Linked DNA regions of Drosophila melanogaster. Changing the gene in region 4 together with the main gene of any one other region gives a genetic interaction. Each region holds a gene or a part of one and is shown on either strand. Other genes may lie near its edges. The genes, in order: rpr, ninaE, Diap1 and Dark.

Region 1 (6,524 bases), on a different chromosome or scaffold from region 4:
AAAACGCAGAAAGATTCCAAATGTTTACTTGAAATAAAGCGAATATGAACAAAATGGCAATGATCCGCCGTCTTTCAACAAGGCATCCCAACTTCGGACTGTTAAATTTTCGATTTGGTTTGGGAATTTGCCAGTGGACCCTTTTTTTTGGGTCTTCATTAATTTCTGCACGAGTATCCGCAGAATCGGACTATTTGTGTTCCTTCCTACCTTTTACCTGTTCTATTCAAACAAAAAGTATGGAACGAAAAATTGGCTAACATGCCAGACAATTATGTGGAAGGTAAGCAGAGCGATGGAACCACAAACGGATAAAGATCAGTCAAGGCTAAGACCCCAAACATAAAAAAAGGGCTGCACCTCTTGACCGAAAATAGTTCTTGGAAATTTATGGATAAAGTTTTGTTTTGATTCGAGTTCACTTAACTCTAAGCGGGCTCCATTGTATTTTTTGCATCTTTTTGGCATTATTAGAAACACTTTTCGAACTAATTAACAGCAGAGACAGAAATAAAAGTTTGGAAGAATTTGCTGCTAGGGATTAAATGCTTTTCGTCTGTGATTTTTACAGCACTTCGCTTACAAATCGCTCGACGTTTGGCGCAGCTTCAAACATAATCATAAACTTGTGTTAATTATTTTTCATATGCCACTCCGGCTGGCGTGGGCAAAAGTTTTATCTGTTTAACGTTAATTAGTTTTGTTTGGCAAAGTGAAATTTCTGATTTCTTTTTGCGCGAGCTTTGCCAACTTTTATTAACTTTTTTCGGGCAATCAAAGTGAATTGAACTGCAGGATGTGCAAGGATATGGCAGCTGCATAAGTGCAAAAGTTTAATTAAAAGTCCTGGCCGCGTTCGCGGAACACAGAGTCATATCCTTCGAGCTGATGACGAGACCCTCAAGAATTGCACATCGAATTTTTCCCTGCCATTTGGCGCTTGCCAAAATTAACTTAAAAATGCAAATTGTTTTGTTAGCACCTAATTTTTTGAAATTATAGAGGGGAAAAGATGTCAAGACTGCCGTAGGGGCAACTCCCCCGCCTGCTCTCTCTTGTTACAAAGTTTCTGCATCGAAAAATCTTGGCAAATATTTTTGTATTTCCTTTTTGCATAATTGAATTTTCTTTGTGTGTTTTCTTGCTGCCGTTTGTGTTGAACAATGTTGTCGGAGTGGCTGAAAAGTTTTTCTCAGAGTGGAAAAGTTGGACTAAAAGACTCATTCTCCCTTAACTTTGCACATTCCAAGAAATTGGGAATTCATTTTTTTATATTAAAAATAAAATATCTAATGGTAGAAGTGGTATTATTATATAGAATTATAATATTCATACATATCCTAATTCAATTGATGTGATTGATCTTAACAATATTCCAGTTTTTGGAGTTGATCTAGCCATGTCTAAATATACATATCGATAAGATATCGAAAACTAAAGAACAATGAAGTTTAAATAAATCTATTGTCTGGAAAGTGACTAATAAAAACGTGGTTTAACTTTCTACAACAAATAGTTTATATCAAAACTAAAAATAATGTGGTTAAGATTCTATTATATGTAATACCGATTTATAATTATATTCGTTCTACAATAATTCAAGAAATTAGCTTGCATTAATATTATTATAACTAAATTATTATTATTATTATAATTATTATTATTATTATTATTTCCGGCAATATCAATCTTAATATTTTATTAAGATATATTTCAAAGCGGACTCTGTCACCGAACGCCGGAAATCAAATGAAAAACTTTTTCAAAACAAAAAAAAATCTTTAACGTTTCCTAACCAAACACATGTAAAATAATTTTCACAACCACCGATAATTTCACTGATTATTAAACAGCCTTCTAGAAAGTTCCTTTTACCGTCGGCGAAATGAAATAAAAAATGTGCTTGTTCCAAACTCAGTTTTTCGAGACATCATCTTAGGCTTTCTTCGCTTTTTGTATCTAAATCTTATAAATGGTAATCTGAAAATATTTAAGTAAATGAAAAACCAACAATTTTTTTAGTTTTTGTTTTTGTTTTATTGACTTTTTGTTTGACAAAAAATTGATGCAATTTTTAGCCAACTTCGACTCATCTTCGTTTTTTTCTGGGGTTTCTTCTTAAAAAAAACTTAGAAAAACTCGTCTTACAAAAGAACTTACAAACTATTACAGTAGTAATTCATTTAAATAGGCTTTAAGAGTAAATTATTTCTAAAAAAGTTGATTTATATCATTGAAACATTTTTGTAAAAAATTGGGGACTTTATAAAAACGTTATTTTTTCAAATTTTTCCTCCGCTTTTTTGTAGAAACAAAACCATTATCACAATCGCTTTGATGAGTAAACTAAAATTGGGTGGGTGTTGTGGCTCTGTGTCCTTGACTGCAGTAGAAATCGAGTGCCGTCGGCTGATGAGTGGTGACTGTGTTTGGGTTTTGGGTTGGCTCATGCTTATTTCCTTTGTACTCTGGATTTTGGACTGGACTATTGGTTTTCCCCGTATTTGTTAGTTACTCGAATCCTCATTGCGATGGCTTGCGATATTTGCCGGACTTTCTTCCGGTCTTCGGATGACATGAAGTGTACTGGCGCAGGGTTTCCAGGACGACGGTGGCCAGGAATCTCCACTGTGACTCCCGCAAGCGAAGGATCTGCTGCTCCTTCTGCTCCGCCTCCCGCAACAGAGTCGCCTGATCGGGTATGTAGAATGCCACTGCCATTGTTGGTTTATCTTTCTTCTCGTTCGGAATTACACAACTGGTAGTGACTCAATAACTTTCTCTTCTGCACAATGAATATTTATCGAGTTAGTTCTTTGTTGCTGGCGCACACACTTTTCTTTCGTATTTTCGAGTTCGTTCACTTTGTTCTGGTGTCTCTCTTATTCAATGATTTTTTCGAGATGCGTTCGCTGCGATGGTTGCTTTTCAACTGAATATATTGAGTAGTGCTCCGAGGCTATTTATACCTGGTTCTCTCACGCCGCCTTGTTCTCTGTTTTTCTGGTGGTGGCTGCTCATTTTGGCCTTCTTCGCTCTTCGGCTCTCTGGCTGGGGTTTTTTTGTTTTGGTATTTCTGTTGACATCGTCTCATTCGCAGCTCCCAAAAAAGTACTACTTTTCATCGTGAGCGGGGGCGGGGCCACCTTGCGCCTGTTGCCAAGCGTGTTTTTGTATGAGGTTGTGTTGTTGTTGCCAGGTTGGTGGCAGCGCCTTTGTTGTAACTGTGTGCGGCGAGAAGTACAGTTAGCATATTAATTGTATTAAATCGTCGGGGCATGACAATCGTTTCTCATCAAGGAGTTCGACAGAGAAAGACATACAAGAGTTGCTTCACGACTAAAGTTTGGAATACCCTCTAAGATTAACATTATTTACACTAGCTACCCATTAGTGATTAGCAACTAAACTAAGCCGGATACCTGATAACAGCCAAGTACAACCATCTAGCCGGTTTCATATTAATCCTTCGAATTTCATTTCTTAAATATTAAAAATATTTATTTTCATCTATGTCAATCAGCAAAAAGTCCTTTTAGCTATTACCGCCAGTATATTTTCTATAATATGATTAAATTCTTGAATTGTAATTAATAAGAAAATTCCAACTAAAAATGATGGAAAAATAAAACCAATATTTTTTAGGTTGGACACATTGATGCTATTAATAGTACAACATTTAAAGTACAAACTATTTACATAATTAAGCAGAATAGCTTCTTGTAAGGGTATTATAACAAGTGGGAGGCGGATTCACTTGAAATATGGGCAAGTGGGCAAGGAAGAGTTCCGTTCCATTTCTTGAATTATTTTCTCTCTTTTCCATGGACCAGCCCACCTGCCATATCTAGATAGATCCCTCTTTATCAGTATCTCGCGCTCTACAAGTGTTTACACAATCATCCGAAGCTTCCGACTAAGAATTATGACAATGTCATAAATTAAAGGCCATATACAGTATATTGACAACAATGGGCTCGTCCCATTATATTTCGTGTGCAATTTTATTCATTTTCATTAGAGCGGAACCAGACGGATATGATATGATACGATATGAATGTTTTCGTTGGAAATCATACACGAAAATTTCCCTGCGGCTTAAAGTATTATTAATTGCCTTCCTGATGGATATGATATCCGAACAATGTATTCTTCCAACATATAGGAAGCTTATTGAAATTATCTTTAATAATATATATTCTGCATTATTATATATAGGTCGTTTACATTTTAAATCTCAACTGAAACTTTCTCTTTAATGACGTAAATACATATTTCATCATTTTTCATCGTATCTAAGTCGGATTACCCATAAACATACTATTGTTTTGTTCTTAATTTCGTTATGATGTTTAAATAAATTTCATATATATATGTAATAGAAAATTAGCTCTTGAAACTCCACCTGCATAATTCTAAAATCTTTTACCCCACCCAAAGAACCGCGATGAGTTTTAAGTTCCATTCAAACTCCACCCACAAAGCCGTAGTACCGTAATACCGTACCCACACACAGGCAAACAGCCGAATCTTACGACGTGCGTCTCAAGTGTTTCCACTGTGATAGAGAATAGCCATCACTTTGGGGGATGTTCTGCGTCATCGTCTATAGCGACCACCTCTCCACAGCTCTGATGTCTAGGTCTATTGTTGAAGGAACTACTCTACTTTCCTCGGCCGGGCGTGCTCGTTCTCTTTCTTTCACACTGCCGTCCTAGTCGCACAGCAGAACCATTCGACTCTATAGTTATTTTTTCATGAGTCTTTTCTTTCCGGGTTCGCGTCAACACACACATACAACATATATAAATCCGGGACAGTTGGGCGTGGCTTACGTTCTAACAGCGTTTTCTGCTCCAGCGGGCAAAAAGAGGAAGCCGAAAAATGGGCATTCCCTCTCTTTCGCACGTTTTGGGGGACGACCAATGTGGTTCAAGTTGGAAATTTATGTTTTGGGTCTGCTTTCGTTTTCTGGGGCGGAGTTTAGGTTGGGACCTTTTTTATGTAGCTGAATCATTGCCAAGAAGGGTGGAGCCAGAAAGGGCCTTAAGTTAACCGAAACATGGCTAACGTTATCCCTTAAATGTATGTCCTTCGCGGTAACCTGCGGTAATTTGCGCATCAGTCATAATTGAGGCTGTCGAATGTCAATTAGTTCGATGATTATCCTCTCAAGGCCTTTATCACAGACTTCATTCAGTTTTTCTTTCCTTAAGATTCTGATCTAAATCTCTAATTGCCCAATGAGGCGATATTTTCAAAGTAACAGATAGTTATCTACGATTTTGGGTACTTGTATTTTCTTAAGGGATAATGCGGGTAATTATTGTCATTTTTATTCAAATAATGCATGCCTCCGGTTGGGGTGCAACAGGCAAAGTCGAATCTCGACTTGTTTAATAACCCATATATCATTTGCATAGATAACTGCCTGACTTTCAATTTAACTTGTGTCTTGTGGCCTATTGAGTTTGTCAAATTGGATTATGTTTCTTCGATTGAGTTTTCAATCTACATGTTAAATGACCCACATGATACGATATTCATTCCTGGGAAGTGTGTCAATCGAATTTTCGATCTACCCGGAAGTTTGCCGATCCTGTTTCTGATTGGGATTCCAGAAATTCACTTTACATTTCATGAGGCATCCAACGTGATATTCCCAAATGAAAGCAAATTTTTAGCGATAATTTCATCAGTTTTTTTTTCTTACTCCTCTCCGCAGCTTGTGACGTGTCTCTGTCTTTGTCTGGGACTGCCTCAAATCGGTATGTCTTACATATCACACATTGTACGTACATATACAAAACATTCGTAACATTCACGAATGCTAATGAGTAATATCAACAATGCGATAACTTGCGCAATTCCCCTAATTTTTGCTTTTATTTTATTGTACCGTTTTATAGGGTATCTACAATCATTCTTGGCAAATAAAAGAAAAGAATTAAATACTAGATTGGCAATCATCTCTTTGTACCTTTATGATCAAACTGCTGTGTCATGCACAATACTCATCGTATAATCCGTACTTCAACCAAATCTACAGGTTGTTCATTATTAAATTGTTAGCTATTAGTTCCAACCGTATAATAACAATTTAGTGCAGTAGTTTCAGCTTTCTCTCGTTCCATTTCATTTGTAATTCTACTATTGGATCATTTATGTTATATTCAGTGGATAAATTGATAGCTTTTACATTACAATTTATTTTAGACCTATATTTTAAATTTTCCTATATATTCCCTGCATTACCCATTATTTAAATATTAAACGAAAACCGTTGGAGTAAAGTTGCAGGATTGGAACCTCCTTCCTCTATCCTTATATGCAGTAATAAAATAATTGGGCCGAAATCATCACTCATTCTTAAAGTTTCCTCTCAGTCAGGTTGCTCCCCCCGCCCCCAGCCAATGCTTAATAATATTCCAAGAATTGCGCAACGTTCTCGAACAGAATATTGTCATCTCTTTGTTGCTCCCGCACTGTTTTCAATCTCGAAAACTCTCAATTTCTCACACTTT
Region 2 (7,326 bases), on a different chromosome or scaffold from region 4:
ATTAAATTCGTGAAATATACAGAGCATACTTTCAGGTACATACACCCCGAACTCAAATCTTTATCGTTATCAATACACGATCAACATAAATGTATTATTGTCGTATTAAATATTACAGAGAAGGGCATTCAAAGTGCCGGGTAAGTTTGGTTCTGCCTCTCTAGTTTCAAATTTGCCCGCCTCATTGAGCAGGAAAACAACAAATTCCCCAACAATAACAACGTCTACGGATCGCAGCGTTTATCTCGCTTATTTGCTAATGCTAAATGATCGTCTTCTTCCCCGCCTTCGGCGGCCTTCTTCCACTTCACATCGCAATGTTTGTTGCAAGTTGGCTTGTCCATATGTCTCTGTTGTTGCTATACCCATTTCGTTACTTGGCTTTTATGTTTGGGCCATCTAGCAGGTGGGCGGGGGACTTTTGTTGTTTAGCGAAACCCGAAAATGCCGAATAAATTGAAATGCGATTCATGGTTTATACCCAGATTATTTGTATATATGCATACACAGAACTGTAGGTAAATACGTAAGTATGGGAACCGCAAGTGCGGCTAACGATGACGCCAATATAATGATCATGATGATCAAATTGATGGTAATGATAATGGCGATATGAGCGCAGCTTCCGGTTTTGCGCCTCGGTATTTTTGTTAGTTTTTTGCGCTGGCTAACTTTATATGAATATTTATTACCTGCGCTTTTTTTGTATTGTTTTGCGGTGTGTAATTGATTTAAACCGAAAGATCTGCCGACATGTGTCGACTGTCACACCAGCTGACAGTTATTTCGGTTTAGTTCCATATTTGGGTTGGGCGCAAAGCGTGGCATCCCATTTGGCCATTTGGATTAGCCTAAAACTTGACCCAATTCAAGCTGATGTGTTGAGCCATCGCACAAAGGCGAACAAAAGGCTTTTATGCCAAAGCTGGACTGACAAAATAAAATCCAAGCTGCCCACACCAAAAAGAAAAGAAACAAAACATGTTCGGAAAATTCAATGGAGGTGCGAAAAGATCAATCAGCACAAAAAATCCATAAGCGGCTTAGCGTCTGGGGTGTTCATATTCTTAATTTAAATAGATTATTTTACTACTTCCAAAAGCTGGCATTCTTTTTAAGATAATCCAAGATTAGCAGAGCCCTCAAGATGTGCGTTCATCGGCGCACACACTGCGTATACTTGATTGCGCATACGCACTGGTGTCGCAGGCGAACGATACTGATATTTCTTCTGCTACGATATGTTTTCATAATATTCTTCAAATTTGTCTAGGCATTGACACATTAAATCGCTGACTTTCGCCATTGCTTTCTGCACAATCTGGAGACTCAAGAATAATACTCGGCCAGAACCCCCAGTGGAAACCCTTGAAATGCCTTTAACTATTGACATTGGCCCATTGCGATGTGCGCTTGCTTTCGTTATGGATATTATGATTATAAGCCAAAAGCTGTCGACACTTTCCTCTGCACATTGCAGACATATTTTTAGGCTGGCCTAATTGAATTTCAAGAGCAGGGGTTACACGAGCACCGCGAAAACTATAAAAGCCATGCGGCAGAATGCAGACATTGCAGGTTTCCAACGACCAATCGCCGCGACTAGTCCGCCCCAGTGAAATATTCAGAATCCAGGAACCCTTTATGTAAAAAGTGTTAGAAATATTGTTAGTGAATTTGCAGCTTTTTATGTAGACAGTGTGATATAGGCGGGATATAGTGACGCAGCCAGTAACCAAAACACAATGGAGAGGTACGATCGGTGGATCCACTGGATGTTCTGGTTAGCAATTTAACATTTGCTTCGGTGTTGCAGCTTTGCAGTAGCAGCCGCGCAACTGGGGCCACACTTTGCCCCCCTGTCCAATGGATCGGTGGTGGACAAGGTCACGCCCGACATGGCCCACCTGATCAGCCCGTACTGGAACCAGTTCCCCGCCATGGACCCCATTTGGGCCAAGATCCTGACCGCCTACATGATCATGATCGGCATGATTTCCTGGTGCGGAAATGGCGTGGTGATCTACATATTCGCCACCACCAAATCACTGCGCACGCCCGCTAACCTGCTGGTCATCAACCTGGCCATCTCCGACTTTGGCATCATGATCACAAACACGCCCATGATGGGCATAAATCTGTATTTCGAGACCTGGGTGCTCGGACCCATGATGTGCGACATATACGCCGGACTGGGCTCGGCCTTTGGCTGCAGCTCCATCTGGTCCATGTGCATGATCTCCCTGGATCGCTACCAAGTGATCGTCAAGGGCATGGCCGGCCGGCCGATGACCATTCCGCTGGCCCTGGGCAAGATTGCCTACATCTGGTTCATGTCGAGCATTTGGTGCCTGGCGCCCGCCTTCGGCTGGAGCAGGTGAGTCCTTGAAATGGTAAACCTTCTGGGAACCCATTTTTTAAAAAATGATCAAAGCTACTATATACAAATGTTTAAAAACTTAAATTACAAACAAAAGGTTTACAAATTACAATTGTATTAATATTATTACCACCTAACATTATCCTATAAATATATATTCTTAATCTAAAAGGTATGTGCCGGAGGGTAACCTGACCTCGTGCGGTATTGACTACTTGGAACGCGACTGGAACCCACGCTCATACCTGATCTTCTACTCCATCTTCGTGTACTATATTCCGCTGTTCCTGATCTGCTACTCTTACTGGTTCATCATTGCTGTAAGTGGCGACGAGACTCGCATATCCCAGTCGCTTAACCCGATATATCCTCCCACAGGCTGTCTCCGCCCACGAGAAGGCCATGCGCGAGCAGGCCAAGAAGATGAATGTCAAGTCCCTCCGCTCCTCTGAGGATGCCGAGAAGAGCGCCGAGGGCAAGCTGGCCAAGGTGGCTCTGGTCACCATCACGCTGTGGTTCATGGCGTGGACACCATACCTGGTCATCAACTGCATGGGACTGTTCAAGTTCGAGGGCCTTACACCACTGAATACCATTTGGGGAGCTTGCTTCGCCAAATCGGCCGCCTGCTACAATCCAATTGTATACGGCATCAGGTTGGTTATGGGCTATGAAACGTATATACCTTAATATTTAACCAATTTTTTATTTTCATTCCGTATAGCCATCCGAAATATCGCCTGGCCCTCAAGGAGAAGTGTCCTTGCTGCGTCTTTGGCAAGGTCGACGATGGCAAATCGAGCGATGCCCAATCGCAGGCCACCGCCAGCGAGGCCGAGTCCAAGGCATAAATTCTTTGGCGCAACAACCAGAACAGCAACAACAACAACAAGAACATCTAACTACTTACAACAGCAACAACAACAGCAACAAAAACAACAGCAAGAACAACTGCAGCAACAGAACGAAACGCTTTCGAATAACATCAAAAACTTCAACAATAATGAAAAAATTATGCAACTTTCTTACATAACAAAAAGCAATGTAAACTCAGTTATTAAATTTCCTGCAATGTCAGTTAAGGACAAAAAAAAACTCAACAAAAAAAATAAATGCAAACGAACTAGAAAAGTTATAAATTAAAATGAGCCTTTTCAAAACATAGTATATCTAACAAAAGCAGCTTTTAGCGTGGAAAAACCCTAATGACGAACCTACAAAAGTTCGGATATCAACTTTCGGTTATCTTTCGCCTTTAAAGTTTGGAGAACCACAACAAATTTGAGTTTATTCATTCTTATATGTATAATAGTCTTCTTCAGAAGCTATAAATCCTTTCCAGTTAACAAGAAATACCCCTTTTTTGCAAAGCACTTCACAATATATTATCTATTTCAGTTTTTGTTTTCTTTTTTTTTTAAATTAAAGGCACTTATGTAAATTCCATTTTTATAAGTTAACATGCAATCGTTAAAACTGGACACACAGACAACGCCTTTTCGAACTCAAAGTTGAAAAGACATGAGTCAGCATGGGAGAACTTAACCCAGGGCTGCTGGAGACTCATTGAGCTGAGCCTCGCAGCGGTTAGTAGCACATGGAGAACATTAACAATTAATCAGTAGTATCTGTAAAGGCACAACTCAGAAAGCTTTCAACTCCAGTCACTCGCTGCACGAATCGTACTCGCTTTCGCTTTTCTTGATTTTCGTTTTGATGCCCGGCGTTCCGGGAGTTGTGGTTGTGGGTGATGGTAGCGTATTGTTGTTGTCAATAAGCGCAAAAGAGCTATTGCCTCCAATGGGTTTGTGGTAAGTGCTTGGTGGACTGTCCACACAATCGGACGAGGTGCACACACGTTCTTGTATAATGAGTTTCCACAAACGCACTTCGATGCCAACGCTGCAAAATACCAAAAGTTAGTTGAGCATGGATTAAGTGTACTTTTCTTATAAGCTTTAACGCACCGCAGACCCAGCCTCATGAGGTCCAGCTTTTCCATGTTATAGATAAAGTCGTCAAATGTAAAACCTTCATTCAGGATGAGCGTCTTTGAGAACTCGTCTATTTCCTGCTGGGTCAACCACTGCTCCAACTGCTCGTCTACTTCGTGAAGACCAAAGTGATGCTTGTTTAGCTGCCTCCGGGGATTGCCCGCTATATTCGGACGGACTCCGGACGTTCCGCCCACACTGGTACTCATTCTATGGCACTTTTTGTTAAAGCCGTTTATTGTGCGTCTGTTAAGATGAAATTGTGAATTATAATAAAATTTACAATGTCCTACTTGGTTTACCAACCTTAATCTCTTTCTGCCGCCCATGTAAATGTGAGCCAGCTCCTGACTGATATTATGCAGGGCCCTCATGCTCTGCCGCTGCTGCTCAAGGAGCTGGCGTTGCAGCTTCTGCTGATTGTCACGGATGTCTCTCAGGATGCGCGCGCACTCCATCGAACTGGACAGAGCATCCCCGCCCGATTCCGCAGGCGTTAATCCCACACCTTCGCGAGTGTTGCTCGTGGGAAGAACTTTTTCCAGGCTCTGCTTTTCCTGGCTCTCGGTGGAACCCTTCTGCATTAGACTTGTACGCAAGCTCTCATCATCATTTCCAGACAGGTCTTTGTCCGCCAGATTGGCGCCCAGTTCAGGAGAGAAAATAGTGACCGCCGCCTGGACGGCCCGCTTAACCAGATTATCCAATGCGAACATCCAATGGGGTTTGATGCAATGGTACCGCAGTACGCAGACCACGGCGTCCTGAAAGGAGTACAGCGCCAAATGAAGATGGTCCAGAGCAACTGCGTCGTTGTTCAGCTTTTGTTTCAGTTCGTTGATAGTCGCTTCCAAATGCTTTTCGTTTTCGTTCATAATGTAGTCCCGCAGTCCTCGGATTAGAACCTCCAAATCGCTTTTCCTAATCGCAATCGAGTTCTGATCAGCGTCGACCTTCTTCAGCCAAATATCGCAGATCTTGGATTCGTCTAGTGCCAGCACCTTGGAAAGCGTTGTCCGCCTCTGCGAATCCTTTTTAAGCCTGTAAAAACCGTCAGTCTCGCTCGTCTCACTAATGCTCGTACGCAAGGACGGCGTGGAAGGTTCAATCTCTGGCGAGAGCAAAAATCCATGGGAATTTCGCCGTTCAAGCATAAACTGGTTGCTGGGCAGCTCGTCAATGTCCACCGAGGATGAATGCGTTATGCTGAAATAGGAAACAGAAAGTACAATATAAAATTACGTTTATTTTACAATACATCAAGTGCTATCTCTTCTCAGTATCAAAATCCGAGTGCGCATTTTCCAATCATTAAATATGCACTTTACTGATAGCAACAATCAATGTGTTAACTACACGATAAGCAAAGGCACTTGTTACTCTTATAATAGTAGACGATATGGGAAAATATAGAGAAGCACGGAAAAATTTTTATATTCATTAAAATTAGCAAAATATAAATGATAATTTTCAACAGATAAGATAACCTCTGCTTGTAATTGAGGAAGGTCGAACATGATAAGAATAGTCGCAGCGTTTAACTTACTCCAATTCCGGCGTTGTGGGCGTATTGCAGGTTGTGTTGTAGCTCAGCGGCGGTGTGGTTTTGTGCACAAACCGATCAGCCGGCACCGAAATGCTGCGTCCGAACTCAGTATTGATGGGCAGGGCTGGGCGCACCTTGCGGGGTTTACTTATTGAGAAAATTAAAAGTGCAATTAGAAAGGAATTAGGCAAAACAATTAAGCAAACTCACTCTTGTAGGAAGGGATCTTCCAGAAGTTGCGAGGCGGAGGGTCGGTCCATCACGCTGATGGCAAAGCAACGCAAAATAAAGTTCTTTGCGTTGGCGGACAGCTCCTCGGGTATGTTCGGATGCTTCTTGTAAAAGCCCACCTTGAACATGGCCGCATGGGCGCTACCCAGCTCGATAAACGGTGGTTTGCCCGTAGCCATCTCAACGTTTGTGCATCCAAAGGACCAGATGTCAGCCGCCGGGCCATAGCCGCGTACTCCCTGGTCAATCACCTCCGGCGCCATGTACTGCAAGGTGCCCGTAAAGGTCTCCGTCATCGGGTTGATGCGGGCCAGCCGCTTGGAGGTGCCGAAATCGGAGATCTTAACCACGCCGCTATACGTGTTAACCAGCACGTTGTCACCCTTTATATCGCGATGAACAATGTCCTGCTCGTGAAGGTACTTCAGCCCCTCGAGGATCTGCTTGGAGTAGAAGGCCATGGTGGACTCGTTGTCCTTGAGCGGACCCCATTTGGTCTCTAAGAGGTCGGAAAGCGATCCTCCCGGCACCTGCTCCATGAAGATCTTGAAGAAGCCGTTCTCCGAGCACGATCCCAAATAGCGAACTATGTTGCGATGTCGCAGCTGAGAGTGTAACTTAATCTCCTCGTGCAGTGGCTGCACATCCTGCGAGTTCTTTTCCGGCACCTCCTTAATGGCGATTCGCACCTGCGTCTGCTTGTCCCTGGCGGCGTACACGGTGCCATAAGTACCTTTGCCCAGCACCATTTTGCGATTCTGCTCATCGTAGTCGTACTCGTACTACAATTAATAATAATTAGCAAAAGTGGCCGGAATATATGTATATATGAATAATAAATAACTTACCTCGATATTAGCGTCATCATTGCTGAGATTGACAAACACCACCTGATCTGCAGTCATCTCCAGGATCATATCGTAGAACTTTTGTCGTCGTTCAGTGGAGGGAAAATATATTTGAAAATCATCTGAGTTGTGATGGACGTACAAGTAGGCACAACGATCATCCCTCTTGTAAAGGCTGACGGACTTGATCTTCGATGCCACGAAAAGGAAGTCGTGGATTTTCTTACACGCATTCTTTGCGTGAGCCAAACAGATGTTCACAATCTGAATGGACTTCTCATCCGCATCCATGTTTATAGTCACATAACTGGGCATATAAATCTTCTG
Region 3 (8,010 bases), on a different chromosome or scaffold from region 4:
ATCCACATCATCCAATCCAATTGAGTATGTTGTTTTTAAAGCAGCATTGATGATCAAGGGGCAAGTGCGGGGTGCGGAATTTTGGATGAAACCACTCGATGTGAAAACAGGGTTACCATATGGCCAGAAAAGACGTGCAAACAAACGTGTGTCATTTTGAATTGTTGTTAACCATTACCGAAAAATTCGCCGAATTCACTGGGTAAACACAAGTTTGTAATTCCGTAAATAATTTAAAATGAAATAAGAGAGCGAGTATTCAGCAACTCTACGGTCGCCATCTTTTTATGCAAGCACAAAAAAACACAAAAGAAAACGAAGCACACCCGACGAAAAATAATAAAACGTTTTCGATTTAAAAGGAATTTAAATTTAAACCCCTTACTGGTAATTTACATTTATGTATGCAGAAGTATGTATACTGATGCAAAAGTATGTATACTCGTTTTATTAATAACAAATGGAAACGTAAATGCAGTTAAACCACATGTGACAACTTTGTCTTGTGGGCACTCGTATGATCGTGTGCGCCTGTGTGGTTTTTTTTTTACTGATATATAGTGTGTGTGTGAGTGTGCGAGTAAAGATACAAGCAAAGCAAACAAAATATATTTTAGCTGTTGCCTTTGCCTTCTGATGACACGTTTTCGTTAATTTGGGGTTATTTTTCGCTTGGGGTACACAAAATACCATACTAGATTATAAAACTGGGGCTCACCTTGACGGCTTTTCTCTTTTTCTTGAAAAACTCAAGTTTGCACTGGAAAATTTCCGTTGCGTTGAGATTTGACGATTTGTTAATCGTGTAAATAATGCGCTTTCACAATCACTATTGATTTTCCGTGAACACGAACGGAAAAACACAATAACACGTTTTCTGTTATCTCCTACGCTCTGTATTTGCTTTTGTTGTTGCTGCTGCTATATCGCCTACAATTACAAAGCCAACTATCACATTCAGTACCGTGGAATACTTTTTTTGTACTTTAAATGTATAAATTTAAATCGAGACAGCGCTCAAAGCGAGTTGTCCATTGTGTCTATACGGGCCGAGATTCGACATTCAACTGAAACGAAGCAACGAGACGAGCGCTGCCGAAGTCGATTTCGAATCCCTCGGCTTCACGCTAATTCTGTAAACATTTAAGGTTATTTTTTTCAGAACTGCCAACGAGAGAGGTAGACAGACACCCTCTCTCAGCTGCCTAGCTTTGGTGAGTGGAATGTTCAATGCAGTTGTTCATTCGGCCTTCCGCACTTTTAATTTTCTTGCTATTACTGAAACTTTATTTAGCCACTTTTAGTGAAGGCGGGGCCCATAAACGTTGTTTAGAATCAAACAGTCTGGCTTTTTATTGTGGGCAAGTTGAACAATTAATAAAAATGGACAAATGCAAGTGCATAATTTTGTTGTACTACGACTAGTATTAATACGTAAATCGTAATAGACGTACTACTGTTGCCTGTATGGCTATCCCTTTCGCACTCGCAGACACCGCAGCCAGGATCATTGATTTTTATCCTCCTGCAAGAGAGCGAAGAGCATGCGCCGCGCGCGTGTCAATGCACCGCATTTCCACCTCTCTCTCACTCTCTCTCACTCTGTCTGTCTGTCTCTCCTTCATTGTGGCGAGGAGGAAGGAGCAGCTGGAACTTTCACAAAGTCCACATATCAAAAAAGGTAGATTATTATGCCTTCGAATTCCGATCATTATTTTTTTAAACGAAAAAATGCTTTTAATGATACGGCTTGGCTGGCGGAGTGCCAGCTTTAAACAAATCGGCTATGCAAAAAGCTATGTATGGAAAAGAGCAAAACAAAAAACAAAATTAAGAGAACATCTCAAAGTGCAGGCTCTGTCCCGTACTCGGTCCCGTACTAGCCTGATTCAGGTTAAACCAAAGACACTAGAAGTGTCAATCTAATGATGATGAATTAATGATGAATCCGTCCTTATACCAAAAACTAAAGAACAAGATTTACAACTTCAATTGCAATGCCTTATTTTGAGTCAATTTCTTCTATGTCTTCTAAAATGTCAGCTTTTTGATTCGCTTTTAGGTTATAGAAAATAGGGTTCCCTGGGGCGGGGTTCTAATATATATATTTTGCACACAGTACAAGGCTGAGTAATTGCTACAGTAAATATTACGCAATTTTATGTACATAAGTTAGTATATGACATGATAAAATGGCTGATAAAAACTAATAAATGCGAAGAAACCACTAGGGATTCTTAAAGTATTTGTTGAATATATTTATATTATGAAATTTACAAACATATTTCTTGAATTGACGTTTTTGCCTCGAACAAAGTATTTGCAATGAACTATCAATAAGTAAAATATTTTTAAACGAAGTCCCAAGCTTTTCTGATTAAGCCCCTTTGAGTTATGAATATATATTTGGCAGGGGAAATGCCAACACGTTCTGATACTGTATAAACAAAGATTGCCAAGTTTGAATCATTTATGGAAAACAGCCCGGCTACAGTGCGCGACATGTGTATATGGCGTCCGCAAGCAAACGGGTTGAACTTTTCAAATTTTATAAATACACGCTGCTAAATTTACCACGAAAATGTCGCGACGCATTTGAGAAATTTGCCTATAAATGCGAAGTCTAGACGACTTTGACATGTTGCAAGTCGACACTGTTTGCAGGCGGTCTTCTGCTGTAAATTAAGCGAAAATGTGGCGTCTATACAAGCATTCTATTTGCGGATGCTGCCAGAGGCACTTCGGTTTTCATTTCATATTCAGCATCAAAAGATCACTCCGCTGACCACGCAGAGTTTGGGTCTCGAGTCGCCGGACAAGTTTTAGTTGAAAAATCCGCGGGCTTGGAGCTAAACGGCCTTGCAAGGCCTTTTAAAGTTGTTGCAACCGCCCTGTTCTTGTTGGTGCTGCTTTTAATGCACAGTTAAAATAGCCTACAGCGTTTTAACTTAATGTGTTGACAGCTGTTTAAGCTATTTCAAACAACTTGAGTCACTTTGTTGCTTTAATAATGAAACCATGCCAGCATTAACAAGTATGACTCAATAGGGATATACCTTAATTTTATCTATATATGCATGTATAATATTCATTTAAGATAAATATTAAGGAGCGTGTCAAAAGATTGCTGCAACTTTGTAATTCCTAAGTTCCTCATATTACATTTCAAAAGCTATACTCTACAGTTGATTCTGTTTATGTTATATTTTGTGGCTTTTTATTAACAGCCAACTGCAGCGGAGCTGAAAACCTGTTTGCCATTTTTGTATTCTCTTCATTCATTTGTGCGGCGATTGGCAAAAGGTGTCATAACAACGCGTTGGGCACGATTCGATTAGACTAGCCACTACCCATTGCTTATAACATGTGCTGCCTGTCGGTCCCTTTTCTAGCCACCATGTATTTACCTGCTCCATTCAGGGCCAAAAAAAAAGGAAGGAAAGAAAGCACCTGGATCGACAATTGTGGACGTGTGCCGGCAGCTGCAGCAACTAGGTAATAACCGATCAGAGGATCGCCGAAAGCGGAGCCAGCAACATCTGCTCCTGGGGCAAGGGTCCTCATCCTTATTGTGCACGCTTCCAGTGAAAGGATCGCGCGGCACATGACGACGCCAGCTGCCGTCGATCCTTTGTCAGGATATTTTCGGTGTGTGGATGTGTGGAACAATCCAATAATGAGCCTACCGAACTGAGGTGTCCCGCGGATCTTTTGCTGTCAAATGATGGAGCCTCAAAAAGGATGTATGTATATTGTATATTTAAGTTTATGGTGTAGTGGATAAATACTCAAAAATAATTTTATTCATCATTTTCAGGGGAACACCAAGTGAACTCATCAGTGAACTACTATTTGAAGTAAGGAATTTGAGAGGTTATGACATTACTCAAGTGACCTAATTTCCTGTGAAACCATCTAGTCACCGTTACTAGGTATAGATTAGACTTGCCAGTTGACAGTTGTTTTAAACAAATATCTCACGAATGAATGACGCAAAACAGAATGCAGCGAGGATATATGAATTTCGTTCTAGTAAAATAAGTGAGGTAAGCAACTGATGCTATAGGCAAAACCCCATCAATCATAGGAACCTACGCAGCGCTGTAAATGGAAATGACATTGAGCGGTAATTAGAAATTGGAAAATTCTAGCTAGTAAACGCGTTCCACGAATGGGTGGGTTTTGCAGCATGGGGGTGGTGTTGATTTCATCATGAATGAAATGCGATGCGAATGAGCTCAGCATCGGCGGAGATAAAAGGTACAATCTTAGTTAATATCCAGGCAGAAACATGTGCGACAGACAGATTTCATTCCAACCCATCCCTCAAAATGACAAGCTAGCACAAGAGCGAATAAGATAAGACGGGATCCTGACATATGCCTAAGTATGTATGTACATGTGTATCTCGGCCTCCAGATTGTTTTAGAAATCACTAGAAAACGCCAGAGAGCGGAGAGCGAGATAGGGAGAAAGGGGGAGAGAGAGAGAGTGAGAGAGGGAGGGATAATGGTCGTGTCCCTGTTTATGTGGGGGTAAGGACATGAATGAAAAAAGGCGTGTTGGAGAGAGAAAGGTAGACAGGCGGCGCCTATTTGTATGCAGCATAATTCAAGTATAGTAAAGTAAACCCATTTTGTTTTTTCTATAAACCGCGGGAAGATTGAACACACATATTTATATTTACTTACCAGAGACATTTTAAACAGTGATAACGTATCAGTTTATCATTGGTTTTTTTAATGCCTTTTTTCGGCCACCAAATCGTTAATTGTTTTCGTTCACCTCTTATCGCACCACGATAAGATTATAAAATCACTTAAAATAAGTTTTGCTGTATAAAATGTTTACACAACTGTGCTCACGTCGACTGGTGGGTTTGAATGCCGTGCAACGACTACGCCAAAGCTATGTGCCTATATAGCTCACTTTCCTATAGGTATTTGTTTTGTCGGTTCTGCGTTCTCGTTTTGTTTTGTTTTGCTTGGCTTTCTAGTGAGCGAGAGGGTGCTGGCGGGGGAAAGAGAGAGAACTAGCGGGGCGGAACGGTCGAAATAGTTTTTTGCCGCCCAAGCGATGCGCAATTATTTTTGGGGGTGGGATGTCCGCACTTTCGTTGGCTATTCCAGCTGTGCGTCTCTAAACTGGAATGTTTTTTTTAAAACTTTTTTAAGTTTAATTAATAACTATTTTGCAAGCTATTTATATTTCTGAATATATTAAAATTTCAAAAACAAACAACTGTCAGCACACGAAGTCGTAGTTTTAAATAAATGCTAAATGGGGTCACACTGTTCAAGGTGCTTGGCTCGCTGATGTATCGATACGCGCTAAAAAGATATCGATAAGATGCATCAGTGGGATCAAGTCTACGCTAGGCCGTCAGCAGCGTTTTCAACCAACATTTATCGAATAAAACGGTTTGGAAATCGAAACGGTAGTTCAGGTATAACACATATACAAAATTGAGCCACTTATAGAACAAGGGTCTGTTACCCGGTCCAGTAACACCGCGAAAACTGAGCTTATTTCGATTCATCAGAATTAGAGCCCCTAACATTTTGTCTTGATTTGACAAAAAAATTAGTGGAACAAACAGAAGAACCTTCGGCATACCGAGAACTCCCAGTAAAAACAAAATACTTTGATCAGTTTGGAAATTTATTTTAACATCAATTGTTTGTTGTTTCGGTTTAATAAACTTTCGAGAATTCTTAGTATCAAACCAGGAATAAATACAAACAATTGAGGGAAGCCACAATTAGAGAAGTTGACCAAAAACAGCATTTTTTGAGTTTGAAAGTAAATTGATTCTGTTGTATCCTCTTTTTCCTTTTTGTGTTTTATATAGATAAAATTAGAAACGGTATTAATATATTTAAAAAGTTGTTTGAAAATTGCATTGTATGTGTTTTTGAGGCACATCAAATATATCGATAGATATGGCCGCATCTATTTTTGAACTAAATGTAAAGAATTGGATGCAAAAAGAACGCATTTCTCCCGAATGGAGTAATAAGACGAACAATTACGAATACCCTAAAATAATATTGATAGTTTAATTAACATCGTTAAAAATATCGGTCCATAACAGCACTGCTAAGTGTTAACATAACTAAGACGCCATCTACAATTTTGTGAGCGGCGTTAGTGTGACCAGGCGAAAAGAGTGCTAAATATACCGCGCATTGCCCTCCGATTCACATCGTCAAAAAATTTTGGTCTGTGAACTTCGTGCGGATGAAATTCGATTTGAACGCCACCGAAAATATGCAAAATAAAGTGAAATACCAGTGCCTCGCGGACGAGGAGCGCTTCAGCGGAGAGTCCTGCAGCCATTAAAGCCCAGAGAGCACTGAAAGTTCTGGGAATTTCGCGGGAAAGGTGCGTTTTTCGCTTGGTCTTTCGGTGTGTGTGAAAAGTTTCTACTGCAATCCATTTTTCTCTACGTGCGTGTGCGGCATACGTGTGTATGTGTTGCGTCTGTGTGCGAGGCGAGTGAATGTGTGTGTGAGTGTGGAGTGGAATGTAAAATGTGGGGCGATGTAAAAATGCCTTTACATAAGTGCACTCGCATTTGCAAGGATTTTGTGCAATACCGCCATCCTGCCAAATTACATAAAATCATCGCATTTCAGTGCGTGAAAAAATACGCGGTTTCCATTTTTGTTCTATTTACTCGCGACGTCAGCGTCGCGGCTGTTGAATTTATGTCAAATTGGTAACACACACACATGCAGGCTCAGCCATTCGCGCTCTCCGTATGCAAGCCCTAACTGCATGAGTGTGTGTGAGCGGCAGAGAGAGAGAGAGAGCGCGAAAGGGAGAATGATAAACAAAGTGTAAAAAAAACAAGCGGCTGCTAAAATGCCCGCAAGTGTTTTTAATTGATATGAAAATGTGTTTGCTTAACACTATGTAGCCCAGCAGCTGGTGGCTCTAAATAAAGCATTTGCAAAATATTAATTTCTCCTATCGTATTTCTTAGTTTTTGCCCCATCCTCTTGTGTAATTTCCATTGAATGCAACAACAAAGGTGCGCGTTAAACAACAACAAATAGCATTGTTTTGCGGGAGAGCGAGTGTGAGAGAGAGAGAGCGTTCCTGATTGCGACATTGTGTGAGTGAGCGGAGAAGAAAACGCCAAGAAGTTGGCTGATAAAGCAAACGCACACGCACGCACGCACGCGCACACACACGCAAAGAAAATAGAAAAATCGTAAAATAATAATAATCAGCAAGCAGGAAAAGAAGAAGCAGCAGCAGCAGCAGTACAAACAGCAAAAGTGTAGTCGTGATCGAAAATCGAAAGTGTGAAGCATTTTCTATAAATAGTGCAAAATCAAAACCCAATTCCCATTGCAAACAAAAGCGCAATAAAGCAATTACGATAGAGCAATAGCGATACAACAGCGCTACATACAAAATCTACACACATCTGGAGCAGTCGAGCGATCTCACAGAGCGCGTGCTCTGCAGCAAGTAGCAGGATTATCTGAAGGAGCAGATCGTTCGTCTGGCCAAGAAGGATCTGCCAAGATGTCCTCGCTGGACGCACGCAACAACTCGGCGATGATGAAGCGCGCCGAGCAGCTGAAGCGCTGGGAGGAGTCGGACACAAACCGCGCCGCCCCCACCCCCCGGCACGAGCACGGCCGCAGGATCAAGTTCAGCTCCGGCTGTGTCTTCCTCGCCGCCTGCCTTTCCGGCGACAAGGACGAGGTCGTCCAGCTGCTCGACCAGGGCGCCGACATCAACACCGCCAACGTCGATGGACTCACCGCCCTGCACCAGGTAAGTCTGCCAGTAATCATCATTCTTTCACACTTAGGAATAGTCCTTATTGGGTGGTAGAAAATGTAACGTTTGAATGGTTATACTTTGCTCAACTAGTCAATTTGTAAATAAATTTAAATTAAAGAACATACAATAAAATAAAATATATTTTAAAGCTATCTTTAAAGATATAGTACACAGATAGAAAACATAAAACATTCGCTAGAAGAAAAG
Region 4 (10,831 bases):
CGTTTTTTTTTCTTTCGTTTTTCGATTTGTATGATCAAGAGAATGTCGTTTAATTGAATGTGAAATTTGCGATTTTGTTTTTTTCTGCCGTTTATGGGTCTGCATATGTGCCATGCAAGTGTGTGGGTGCGCATATGAGTACGAGTCTTTGAGTGCAGCTGCGTGTGTGTCTGTATCAGCGGTTCACTTCGGCGTGGCAGTGGCTATAGTTATATATATATATATTTCTTTTACCGTTTACGGTCGAAATCCTGGCTTCGCGACTATTCAAATTTATTTAATTCAAGTTAAAAAGTACAAACTGAATGAATGAACTGGCTATCATGGCAGAGAGTTAGTTATCAGAGATACAAAACGGGCGTATCACACAAAAAGCGTTCGAACAAAGTCATTAACACATGTCATATTATGATAGGTGCATGAAACACGAAGATATCACAAACAATTTGCTATCAATAATTTAAAAGATAATCACAATTGGTTCTGAACCAAGCAACTGCAATCATCGATCCTACAACCGAGAATTTGTTGGAAATGCTCCACTCCTACGCTCTCCACCATCCCTCCTATACCCAAGCTATATCCTGCCAACGACCACGCCCTCATGAATCCGTCCAATGCAACACAGTTCTCCACAGTCGTCTAGGTCTTCTGTTTGCCCTGCTTACAGAACTCCTTGTATGCCCGCTCGGTTTCCTCGTCCATTTCCGCGTCGATTTCTAGGTCGGCACCATCCCCATCAAAGTCATCATCACCATCATTATCCCCGCCGGCCAGAAAATCGGTCTCCTCGGCAGTCAATTCGCGGCCATCAGGTCCGTAGAAGACGGGCTCATCGCTCAGGCGCGGCGGCTCCTTCACTGTATCTTCATCGTCTCCCAGAGCGTTCGACACCTTCCTGCCCCAGTTGTTCTGCTGCAGGGCAATTACACTTGCCGCCATGGGGTACTTGCCCGGCGACTTCAGCTCGATCGCCTGCAGGGCGGTGATGATCTCCTGTATGTCCTTGGGGCAATCGGCTGTCAGATCATATCCAGCCAGCTTGAGGGTCTGGCACAGGCAGCGAACATTTTCGTTGCTCTCGCTGGCCAGCAGCTTACTCAGCGAATATACAATATTCACAGCGATCAACTGGATGCGCGAGTCGTCGTCGCCGCGCAACTGCATGTACAGCTCGGCCAGAAAGAGGGCAGTCTCGCGAACCTTCTGCTGCTCGTTGGAGCGCATGTACTTGGTCACTTCCTCCTGGTGGTAGTCAAGCTTGCACTTGAGCAGCGTGTGGAACAGCGAGTCCGGCTTCGAGTTGAGCATGTGCAGCAGGTTGTACAGCTTGGCGCCCATGTACCGGAAGTTCGGCTGCTCGATCGACTTCTCGAAGATGTCCTCCATGGCGATGGAGAGCACGAATTGGTTGTTCTCCATGCCATCGAAAATGGTCAGGAAGCGTGATGCAATCGAATCAAATTGGCCCGGATTCTGGATGGAGATCATTAATATGTCTGGTTAGTAGGAAATTTAGGTTTAAAACTTAAGATTAAGTTTGACTAGACTGAAATGTTTCAGCTGATTTTTTTTTTTACTTTCGAGCATAAATATATTGATTTTAAATATATTGTTATATTTAAAGAAAATATTAAGCTGACACCTATTAAAATTGATTAAATAATCATAAAACACTAAAAATATAAATCAAAGGAAGCCCATAATTGCCCTGATAGCTTATCAATCGAAATTCTCACCTGGTTAAGGCAATGTATGACTGTATCAAGATACTCCAGTGCTATGGTGGCCATGTCCGGCTGCGAAGAGTTCGAGGACGACGAGGAGGCCGCCGCAGTCGAAGTGGATGGCTGCGGTTGTTGATTCTGGTTCTGAATATACTGCTGCTGCTGTTGGTTGTGCTGCTGGTGGTGCGGCTGCTGCGGCTGGTTGTGCTGTGTTTGCTGTACGATTTGTTGGAATGAGTTATTCAAGTGGAAGTGCCGTTGAAACTTGGCGTGTTGGTTGTGTGGCTGATGCTGCTGCTGGTGTTGTTGGTGGTGGTGTGTGTTTTGGTGTACCTGCTGCTGCTGATAGTAGTTGCCGGCTGAGCCCTGCTGGCTATTCAGGTGCAGGCGATTCTGCACGGAATTCGTTAGCTTCTGCATATCGTTGTTGAACTTCTGCTGATGATTGTGATGATGGTTGTAGTGCGGCTGCTGGTGGTGCTGCTGATGGTGATGCTTAAAACCATTCACATAGCGCGGCTGCTGTTGGCCATAAGGAGCTCCTCCACCGGCTCCACCAGCCTGCTGGTATTGCTGATGTCGCGACTGCTGCTGCGGGGGAGCAGCTCCTCGAGGGATGAAAATTGTGGCCGTGGCCGACAGATTGGACGCATCGGACAGAGTCTGCGCCTGGGGTTGCATGGCCTGCACAGGAAAATTGCCAACCACCTGACCGTACGCCTGCGCTCCGGCGTACTCCCCAAAGAGATGCGCCTGCTGATCCAGTCCCGGCATGGCCACTCCGCCTGCTCCGCCGACATTCGGCCGGCGCAGCTGCTCATACTGATCGTCGGGCTGGAAGGGGGCGCGGCATGACATTGCGTTGGACTCGAAAACTGCAAATCACCAATCAGAGTAAAGTAATGGATGAGGATTAGTTTATCTAAATAAAGACAAATCACATTCGCCAGGGCATTCCCCAGCGTGGTTACGTTTGCAAGCCTCGGGACGCCGATTCAGACAGAGTTGCGGACATTTTGTTTTCCTACCACTGGTTTGTCGCCTTTCTTTTTTTATCTCTTTATTTTCCGCAGCCGGGTCAGTCGGTGTTTCCCATTGAAATGGACACGACCTATCCGACTCTACCGTGTGGTGGTGGGGAAATTGCAATGCCTACCTTAAATTTGTTCAAGTTGAATGTGTACGTCGCCGATTTTCGTTTTTGTTGCTTCGTTTTGCTGCGTCGTCACTTTCTCGTCTGCGTCTCTGATGCGCTGCTCCGAATTTCGTGTCTGATTTTGGGTGGGATTGCACGTTTTACTGGCCGTAAAAAATGTTAAATTGGACGGTGCGGGGGCGGGACGGCCGGTGACCGCTGAAAGGGAATGTAAAATGCTACGCACCTTTAATTTACACTGCGGCAATTTGTTAAAATTTATTATTTCGCCTTTTCACCGTCGGTGTGGTCGCAAGTGGCTAGTGAAAACTTACCTGGCAGTGAATACCTTTGTTGTCTGTGATATATCGATACGGCTCAATATGGTCACACTTTAAATAAAGTAATAAGTGCTAAACCGTTTTTTAGAAAATAAGCATTAGATAAACTACTTCATTTCGTACAAGAAAATCATGGTATTATTATAATCTTAGATCTAGTTGGAAAAGAGATATATATTTGGCATATATATATAAGGTGGCATATATATAACAAATTAATAACTAATAACAAATAATATATATTAAAATATAATAAGAAATTCTTAATATATAAATAAGAATTTATTATTATATATTATTTGTTGTCGGTTCAAAAATTAATTTAATCGTAATGTAAATTGTATTTCTTATTAAGAATATACAAATTCTCAATATCTTAAATCACGCAATATAATATCGAATTACAATTCAGATTACGATTAAAATCATTTTTGAACCACTTGACAACCCTATATATAATTCGATATTATTTCCCTCGCGTAAAACGGTCACACAGTCGAATAAATTCCGTTTTGTTATTTTTTGAGTACTACTCAATGAGTAGCATAGATTAGTACATTATTTATATTTTTTCAAGCCTTTAGTGTTTCGCTTAGAATGTGCTAGAACAATGTGAACAAGCCGGAGCAACTATATATTAAGGATAAAGTGCAATACTTACACATACAACAAAATACGAATAAGGACGACGATTTGTTAAAAATAAACGGCGAGCGTAAGTAAATATGCGTGCAGGTGAAAGCTTATGTACCTGTAGTGCTTTCGTTTTCTGTGCTCTACAAGTCCATTTGTTTAATTCTTCCATTGGGCCTTGTGCCTCCCCGTCAATCACAAATCCAAGGCACTGTGTGTGTGACTGAAACAATTGCATGCGAGAGCACTTACACACAAACATAACAAGTTCATTCACACGGCAAACTCAGTGACGTATCTTCTCTCTGCCTTTACGCGCTTATCTAACTGGTGATTAATAATTCGATCCGATTTTGGTTCTACGACATTGACGAGCGGAGGAGAACAAAAATGCAACCGGAATTGCCTTTTTCGATGGTTGCACCGCCAGCTCACGTATTCCTAGCTATTTAGAGGCGATCTCGTTCGCGTCCTTGTCGATTAGTTGTGAAATTACCGATGATCCAGTCGATCTCAGCTTGCAGATAAGGGATCTCATAGATCCATGGTATCGCATTTCTCTCCTCGAGAAGCCGTCTACGGTGCATTCAAATAAAGTGGGCCAAGCTTGGCGCCAAAAATTCCGCCATATGTATGTACACATATACATGCATACATATGTGCATTTGAAATGAACATTTTTTTGTTTTGATTTGTTTTTTTCGATTTTCTTGATTCTGTTCGCTAAGAGTTGCACCTGAGTTTTTATTGGTTGGTCCAACCAAATTTATGATTTGTGTGATTGCCCGACCAAGGAGAAGACAGGGATTCGGATTTGATTCAGCTTTATTATTAGAACACTCGATCTGGTTGCGTTAGTGTGAACGTGGAGAGCTTAGGAACAATAAAAGCTAGAAGGTTGATATTAAGAATACAGATTCTAGAGATACAGACGCAGCCCAAGTTTATTCACCCATGTTGCCACGCCTACCCTAACGCCCACAAACTGCTCAAAACTGTCACGGCCACACTTTTGAACCGTTTTAATTTTTATTTCTATTTATTTTGTTTTCGAATTTCTATGAGATAAAAATTTCCAGCAGAGTAACGGGTATCTAATAGCCGGAAAACTCGACTATAACATTTTCTTTTGTAATTAATGAAAATACCACAAAAAATAACCCAATGCCAATAAATTATTTCTAACATAGCTATAAAATTTAGTTACTATATAAATATTTACATATGTAGGTAACACGAATATGGATTTTGAAACTGGGGAGCACCAATACCAATACAAGGACATTTTGTCCGTGTTTGAGGATGCATTCGTCGACAACTTCGACTGCAAGGATGTCCAGGATATGCCGAAATCAATATTGTCCAAGGAGGAAATTGACCACATCATCATGTCTAAGGATGCAGTCAGCGGCACACTTCGCTTGTTTTGGACACTGCTCTCTAAACAGGAGGAAATGGTCCAGAAATTTGTGGAGGAAGTTCTCAGGATCAACTACAAATTCTTAATGTCGCCAATCAAGACTGAGCAACGGCAGCCCAGCATGATGACCAGGATGTACATCGAGCAGAGAGATCGTCTGTACAACGACAACCAAGTATTCGCCAAGTACAATGTGAGCCGCCTGCAACCGGTATGATAATCTCCCATTCGAAAAAAAAAACAATCAAAGAAGTCCAACGTACGAAACCGAAAAACAATTTTACTCTGTGGAATTGTTATCTAACCATACTACAATACTTTTTATATTTCAGTATCTGAAGCTAAGGCAGGCTCTTCTAGAACTTCGCCCAGCGAAAAATGTATTGATTGATGGCGTCTTGGGATCGGGAAAGACTTGGGTAGCCTTGGATGTGTGCCTATCGTACAAAGTGCAATGCAAGATGGACTTTAAGATCTTCTGGCTTAACTTGAAGAACTGCAATAGCCCGGAGACCGTGCTAGAGATGCTGCAGAAATTACTTTACCAGATCGATCCCAACTGGACAAGTCGTAGCGATCATAGCAGTAACATAAAGCTTCGAATCCACAGCATTCAGGCGGAACTGCGACGACTGCTCAAGAGCAAGCCATACGAGAATTGTCTCCTTGTTCTGCTTAATGTGCAAAATGCCAAGGCTTGGAATGCTTTCAACTTGAGCTGCAAGATATTGCTAACCACACGGTTCAAGCAGGTCACTGACTTTCTTTCGGCAGCTACCACAACTCATATTTCATTGGATCATCATTCGATGACGCTTACGCCGGATGAGGTTAAGTCTTTGCTTCTAAAGTACCTCGACTGTCGACCACAGGATTTGCCCCGGGAAGTTTTGACAACGAATCCCCGCAGACTAAGCATTATTGCTGAGAGCATTCGGGATGGTCTGGCGACCTGGGACAACTGGAAACAGTATGTGGATTATGAGTGTTCACACTGAATAAATACATAATTTTTTTTTGTAGTGTAAACTGTGATAAGCTGACGACCATCATTGAGAGCTCTCTAAACGTTCTGGAGCCCGCTGAATATAGAAAAATGTTTGATAGACTGTCAGTTTTCCCTCCATCAGCCCACATACCCACTATTGTAAGTGAGCACTGCACTTTACGGCATACATCTACTAATCGTTATCAACTTCCTGTTGAACAGCTCCTATCGTTGATATGGTTTGATGTTATCAAATCCGATGTAATGGTAGTGGTTAACAAACTTCATAAATATTCATTGGTGGAGAAGCAACCAAAAGAGTCAACCATAAGTATACCCAGCATATACTTGGAGTTGAAAGTCAAGCTTGAAAACGAATATGCACTTCATCGGAGTATCGTAGATCACTATAAGTATGTTCCTAGCCCTTTTCTTGATATCTTGAATTTTTGCTAAAATGTATTAACCTTAAGCCACGAGTAAGCCGTATACTGAGTGATTTTAACCTTTTTGTTAGTATCCCAAAAACATTCGATTCCGACGACTTGATACCGCCTTACCTGGACCAATACTTCTATAGCCACATCGGTCATCATCTAAAAAACATTGAGCACCCCGAACGGATGACTCTCTTTCGCATGGTCTTTTTAGATTTCCGTTTTCTAGAACAAAAGATTCGGCACGATTCAACTGCTTGGAATGCCAGTGGATCGATCTTGAACACGCTACAGCAGCTGAAGTTCTACAAGCCATATATTTGCGGTACGTAAATTTCTGAATCATTTGAAACAAAAAAAAAATGTAATCTTTTTTTCATGCAGACAATGACCCAAAGTATGAGCGCTTAGTCAACGCTATTCTGGATTTTTTGCCAAAGATTGAGGAAAATCTTATTTGTTCAAAGTATACGGACCTGCTTAGGATTGCCCTGATGGCCGAGGATGAGGCGATTTTTGAAGAAGCCCATAAACAAGTGCAGCGCTTTGACGATCGGGTTTGGTTTACTAACCAGTAAGTACTTACCAGCTATTGACTAATCAAACAAACAGAGCTGTCATTTTTAGTAATAATGAAATGTATATATATTAAAGTTACTTTATTATTATTATTTCACTTTTTCCTTTTATCAGCGGTCGTTTCCACCAGCACCGTCAGATTATAAACCTGGGTGATAATGAGGGGCGCCATGCTGTCTACCTTCACAACGACTTTTGCTTGATAGCGCTGGCCAGCGGGCAGATCCTGCTAACCGATGTTTCGCTGGAGGGAGAGGACACCTATTTGCTAAGGGACGAGAGCGACAGCAGTGACATTCTGCGTATGGCGGTATTTAACCAACAGAAGCACTTGATCACCTTGCACTGCAACGGCAGCGTAAAACTTTGGTCCCTGTGGCCCGATTGTCCAGGAAGGCGCCACAGTGGTGGTAGCAAGCAGCAGCTAGTCAATAGCGTGGTTAAACGCTTTATAGGGAGCTATGCAAATCTGAAAATTGTTGCTTTCTATTTAAATGAAGACGCCGGATTGCCAGAGGCCAACATCCAACTGCATGTGGCATTCATCAATGGTGATGTGAGTATTTTGAATTGGGACGAACAAGATCAGGAGTTCAAACTGTCGCACGTGCCTGTTTTGAAAACGATGCAGTCGGGAATACGGTGTTTCGTTCAGGTTTTAAAGCGATATTACGTGGTCTGCACCTCAAATTGCACACTTACTGTATGGGATTTGACCAACGGTTCCAGCAATACGCTGGAACTACATGTTTTTAATGTCGAAAACGACACGCCGTTGGCCTTAGATGTATTTGACGAAAGGAGTAAGACCGCCACCGTGTTGCTGATTTTTAAGTACAGCGTATGGCGGCTCAATTTTTTGCCAGGTCTTTCGGTTAGTTTGCAATCGGAGGCAGTGCAACTGCCAGAAGGAAGTTTCATCACCTGCGGAAAGCGTTCGACTGACGGACGTTACCTACTGCTGGGCACGTCCGAGGGACTTATTGTGTATGATCTGAAAATCTCTGATCCCGTGCTACGCAGCAATGTCAGCGAACATATAGAGTGTGTGGATATATACGAGCTGTTTGATCCTGTCTATAAGTACATTGTTTTGTGCGGCGCTAAGGGAAAACAGGTGGTCCATGTGCACACATTGCGCTCTGTAAGCGGCTCGAATTCACATCAAAACAGGGAAATCGCCTGGGTTCACAGTGCAGATGAGATAAGCGTGATGACAAAGGCTTGCTTGGAGCCTAATGTCTATCTGCGTTCTCTGATGGACATGACCAGAGAGCGGACGCAACTTCTGGCTGTGGACTCCAAGGAGCGCATTCACCTAATTAAACCGGCCATTTCTAGAATTTCCGAATGGTCCACAATCACACCCACTCATGCTGCCAGTAACTGTAAGATAAATGCCATATCCGCCTTTAACGACGAACAGATTTTCGTTGGCTATGTGGACGGAGTGATAATAGATGTTATTCATGATACAGCGCTACCTCAGCAGTTTATAGAGGAGCCCATTGATTACCTCAAACAGGTCAGTCCCAACATTCTGGTGGCGTCGGCACACAGTGCCCAGAAGACTGTGATATTCCAGCTGGAAAAGATAGATCCGCTGCAACCCAATGACCAGTGGCCATTGATGATGGATGTTAGTACCAAGTACGCGTCCTTGCAGGAAGGACAGTATATCATTTTGTTTTCCGACCACGGAGTCTGTGTGAGTGTTCTTAATTGAAGTTTATGCGAGTAAAAGTGCAGTATTTGATTTCAATATTTACCAACAGCATCTGGATATAGCTAACCCATCTGCATTCGTGAAACCAAAGGATTCGGAGGAATACATTGTCGGCTTTGATCTAAAGAACAGTCTTCTCTTTCTGGCCTACGAAAACAACATCATCGATGTGGGTTTGCTAAACATAATATCATTAAACAATTATCAATTATTTCCAACGACAGGTATTCCGTTTAATATTCAGCTGTAACCAACTAAGGTACGAACAGATTTGCGAAGAAGAGATCGCCCAGAAGGCCAAGATCAGCTATTTGGTAGCCACGGATGATGGTACCATGTTGGCTATGGGTTTCGAAAATGGCACTTTAGAGGTATACATACGTCTTACAAATTCGTTTCATAATTATTTCCTGCTAATTATACATTTCCCAACAGCTCTTTGCCGTTGAAAACAGAAAAGTTCAACTGATCTACAGCATTGAAGAGGTCCACGAGCACTGCATCCGGCAATTGCTATTCTCGCCATGTAAGTTGCTCCTGATCAGCTGCGCGGAGCAGCTGTGCTTCTGGAATGTGACGCACATGCGCAACAATCAATTGGAGCGCGAGCAAAAACGGCGGCGCAGTCGACGCCATAAGCAGCACAGTGTTACACAAGAGGATGCTGTGGATGCGGCGCCCATTGCAGCGGACATCGATGTAGATGTGACATTCGTTGCCGACGAGTTTCATCCGGTGAACCGAGGGACTGCGGAACTGTGGCGGAATAAGCGCGGCAATGCCATCCGTCCGGAACTCCTGGCCTGCGTTAAATTTGTGGGAAATGAAGCTCGTCAGTTCTTCACAGACGCCCACTTCTCCCACTTTTATGCCATAGATGACGAGGGTGTCTACTACCATCTGCAGTTGCTGGAGTTAAGCAGACTTCAACCTCCACCTGACCCAGTTACGTTGGATATTGCCAATCAGTATGAAGACTTAAAAAATCTTCGAATTCTCGACAGCCCACTTATGCAGGATTCGGATAGCGAGGGTGCTGATGTAGTTGGCAACCTGGTTCTGGAGAAGAACGGCGGAGTGGCGAGGGCGACACCAATTCTGGAGGAGGCCAGTTCATGACGCCAGAAGTGCGTCCCTAGGCGGCGCACGAAACAGGAAAGTCCAAACTACAACATGGCATTTATAGGATTACTGCTCTACTACCTGATGGTTTTGCTCTTCTACCTCCTGGGTCCGGATTTGTCCTAGGCAAACATTAGTTGTTGGCGCTTACATTTGCGAATGTATGCAGCTAACCAAGTATGATATCTCAGAGGGCGGTGGGTGCGTTGCCCTGCCTTTGTTTGTCAACGCGAGTAACCGCCACCAAATAAACGACATTTCACGAAAAACACAGAACGCGGTTTTGTTGTCTGCTCTTTGTGCTGTCCGTATGTATGTATGCATGCATGTCTGTGTGGGTGGTTGTGCTGTGCGTTTGTTTTGATTTCTGCCAGGCACGCCAGATCAAGTGTTGCAAAAGCATTGGTCCCGGGACAGTGCTGCTAAGTTCGTGTATGGATATCAGTGTTGCGGTCCAATAAATAGGTACGTATCTGGATTGTGGCTCGTCTACTTCTAAGCTGACTTAAATTAATAAAAAGGCTTTGGCCTCAATGTTTGCATTTTGGTTTTATTAAAAAGTTCAAGTCAAGTTTGGGCTATAATTTTTATAAGCTAAGATTTACACACATTGCCTTAATGAACACACGTACGAAATATATTAAGAAGCATTTAAAACAATGAATAAAAACCAATAGCTAACTTGTATCATCGGCAAGGTACCTTGTTTGTACCAGTTTTAGG

What was found.
Region 1: of Dark (region 4) and rpr, changing one suppresses a phenotype caused by changing the other (phenotypic suppression), as found in Drosophila melanogaster (3 studies listed by BioGRID).
Region 2: of Dark (region 4) and ninaE, changing one suppresses a phenotype caused by changing the other (phenotypic suppression), as found in Drosophila melanogaster (one study listed by BioGRID).
Region 3: of Dark (region 4) and Diap1, changing one suppresses a phenotype caused by changing the other (phenotypic suppression), as found in Drosophila melanogaster (4 studies listed by BioGRID).

What each region holds. Positions count from the first base shown.
Region 1 is NT_037436.4:18,395,515-18,402,038, forward strand, and holds rpr (reaper), read right to left. Parts: upstream 2,922-6,524; 5' UTR 2,722-2,921; coding exon 2,524-2,721; 3' UTR 2,021-2,523; downstream 1-2,020. UniProt on the Drosophila melanogaster protein: Activator of apoptosis, as well as grim and hid, that acts on the effector Dredd.
Region 2 is NT_033777.3:19,882,450-19,889,775, reverse strand, and holds ninaE (neither inactivation nor afterpotential E), read left to right. Parts: upstream 1-1,569; 5' UTR 1,570-1,745; coding exon 1,746-1,753; intron 1,754-1,816; coding exon 1,817-2,377; intron 2,378-2,552; coding exon 2,553-2,700; intron 2,701-2,758; coding exon 2,759-3,036; intron 3,037-3,104; coding exon 3,105-3,231; 3' UTR 3,232-3,521; downstream 3,522-7,326. Other genes in the region: Ask1 (apoptotic signal-regulating kinase 1), read right to left, coding at 4,045-4,282, 4,348-4,620, 4,681-5,580, 5,921-6,067, 6,131-6,933, 7,000-7,326. UniProt on the Drosophila melanogaster protein: Visual pigments are the light-absorbing molecules that mediate vision. They consist of an apoprotein, opsin, covalently linked to cis-retinal.
Region 3 is NT_037436.4:16,045,767-16,053,776, forward strand, and holds the start of Diap1 (Death-associated inhibitor of apoptosis 1), read right to left. Parts: upstream 5,269-8,010; 5' UTR 4,692-5,268; intron 4,538-4,691; exon of another isoform or gene 3,818-4,537; intron 3,744-3,817; exon of another isoform or gene 3,469-3,743; intron 1,081-3,468; exon of another isoform or gene 719-1,080; intron 1-718. Other genes in the region: Mbs (myosin binding subunit), read left to right, coding at 7,540-7,794. UniProt on the Drosophila melanogaster protein: Anti-apoptotic protein which functions as a caspase regulator, using its E3 ubiquitin-protein ligase activity to smother caspase activity. Binds, ubiquitinates and inactivates initiator caspase Dronc, and effector caspases Drice and Dcp-1.
Region 4 is NT_033778.4:17,016,324-17,027,154, forward strand, and holds Dark (Death-associated APAF1-related killer), read left to right. Parts: upstream 1-3,703; 5' UTR 3,704-3,918; intron 3,919-5,066; 5' UTR 5,067-5,077; coding exon 5,078-5,467; intron 5,468-5,588; coding exon 5,589-6,226; intron 6,227-6,279; coding exon 6,280-6,403; intron 6,404-6,466; coding exon 6,467-6,657; intron 6,658-6,761; coding exon 6,762-7,006; coding exon of another isoform or gene 7,007-7,014; exon of another isoform or gene 7,015-7,065; coding exon 7,066-7,255; intron 7,256-7,328; exon of another isoform or gene 7,329-7,374; coding exon 7,375-8,968; intron 8,969-9,029; exon of another isoform or gene 9,030-9,035; coding exon 9,036-9,155; exon of another isoform or gene 9,156-9,210; coding exon 9,211-9,357; exon of another isoform or gene 9,358-9,421; coding exon 9,422-10,105; 3' UTR 10,106-10,380; downstream 10,381-10,831. Other genes in the region: Paip1 (Poly(A) binding protein interacting protein 1), read right to left, coding at 643-1,476, 1,740-2,585.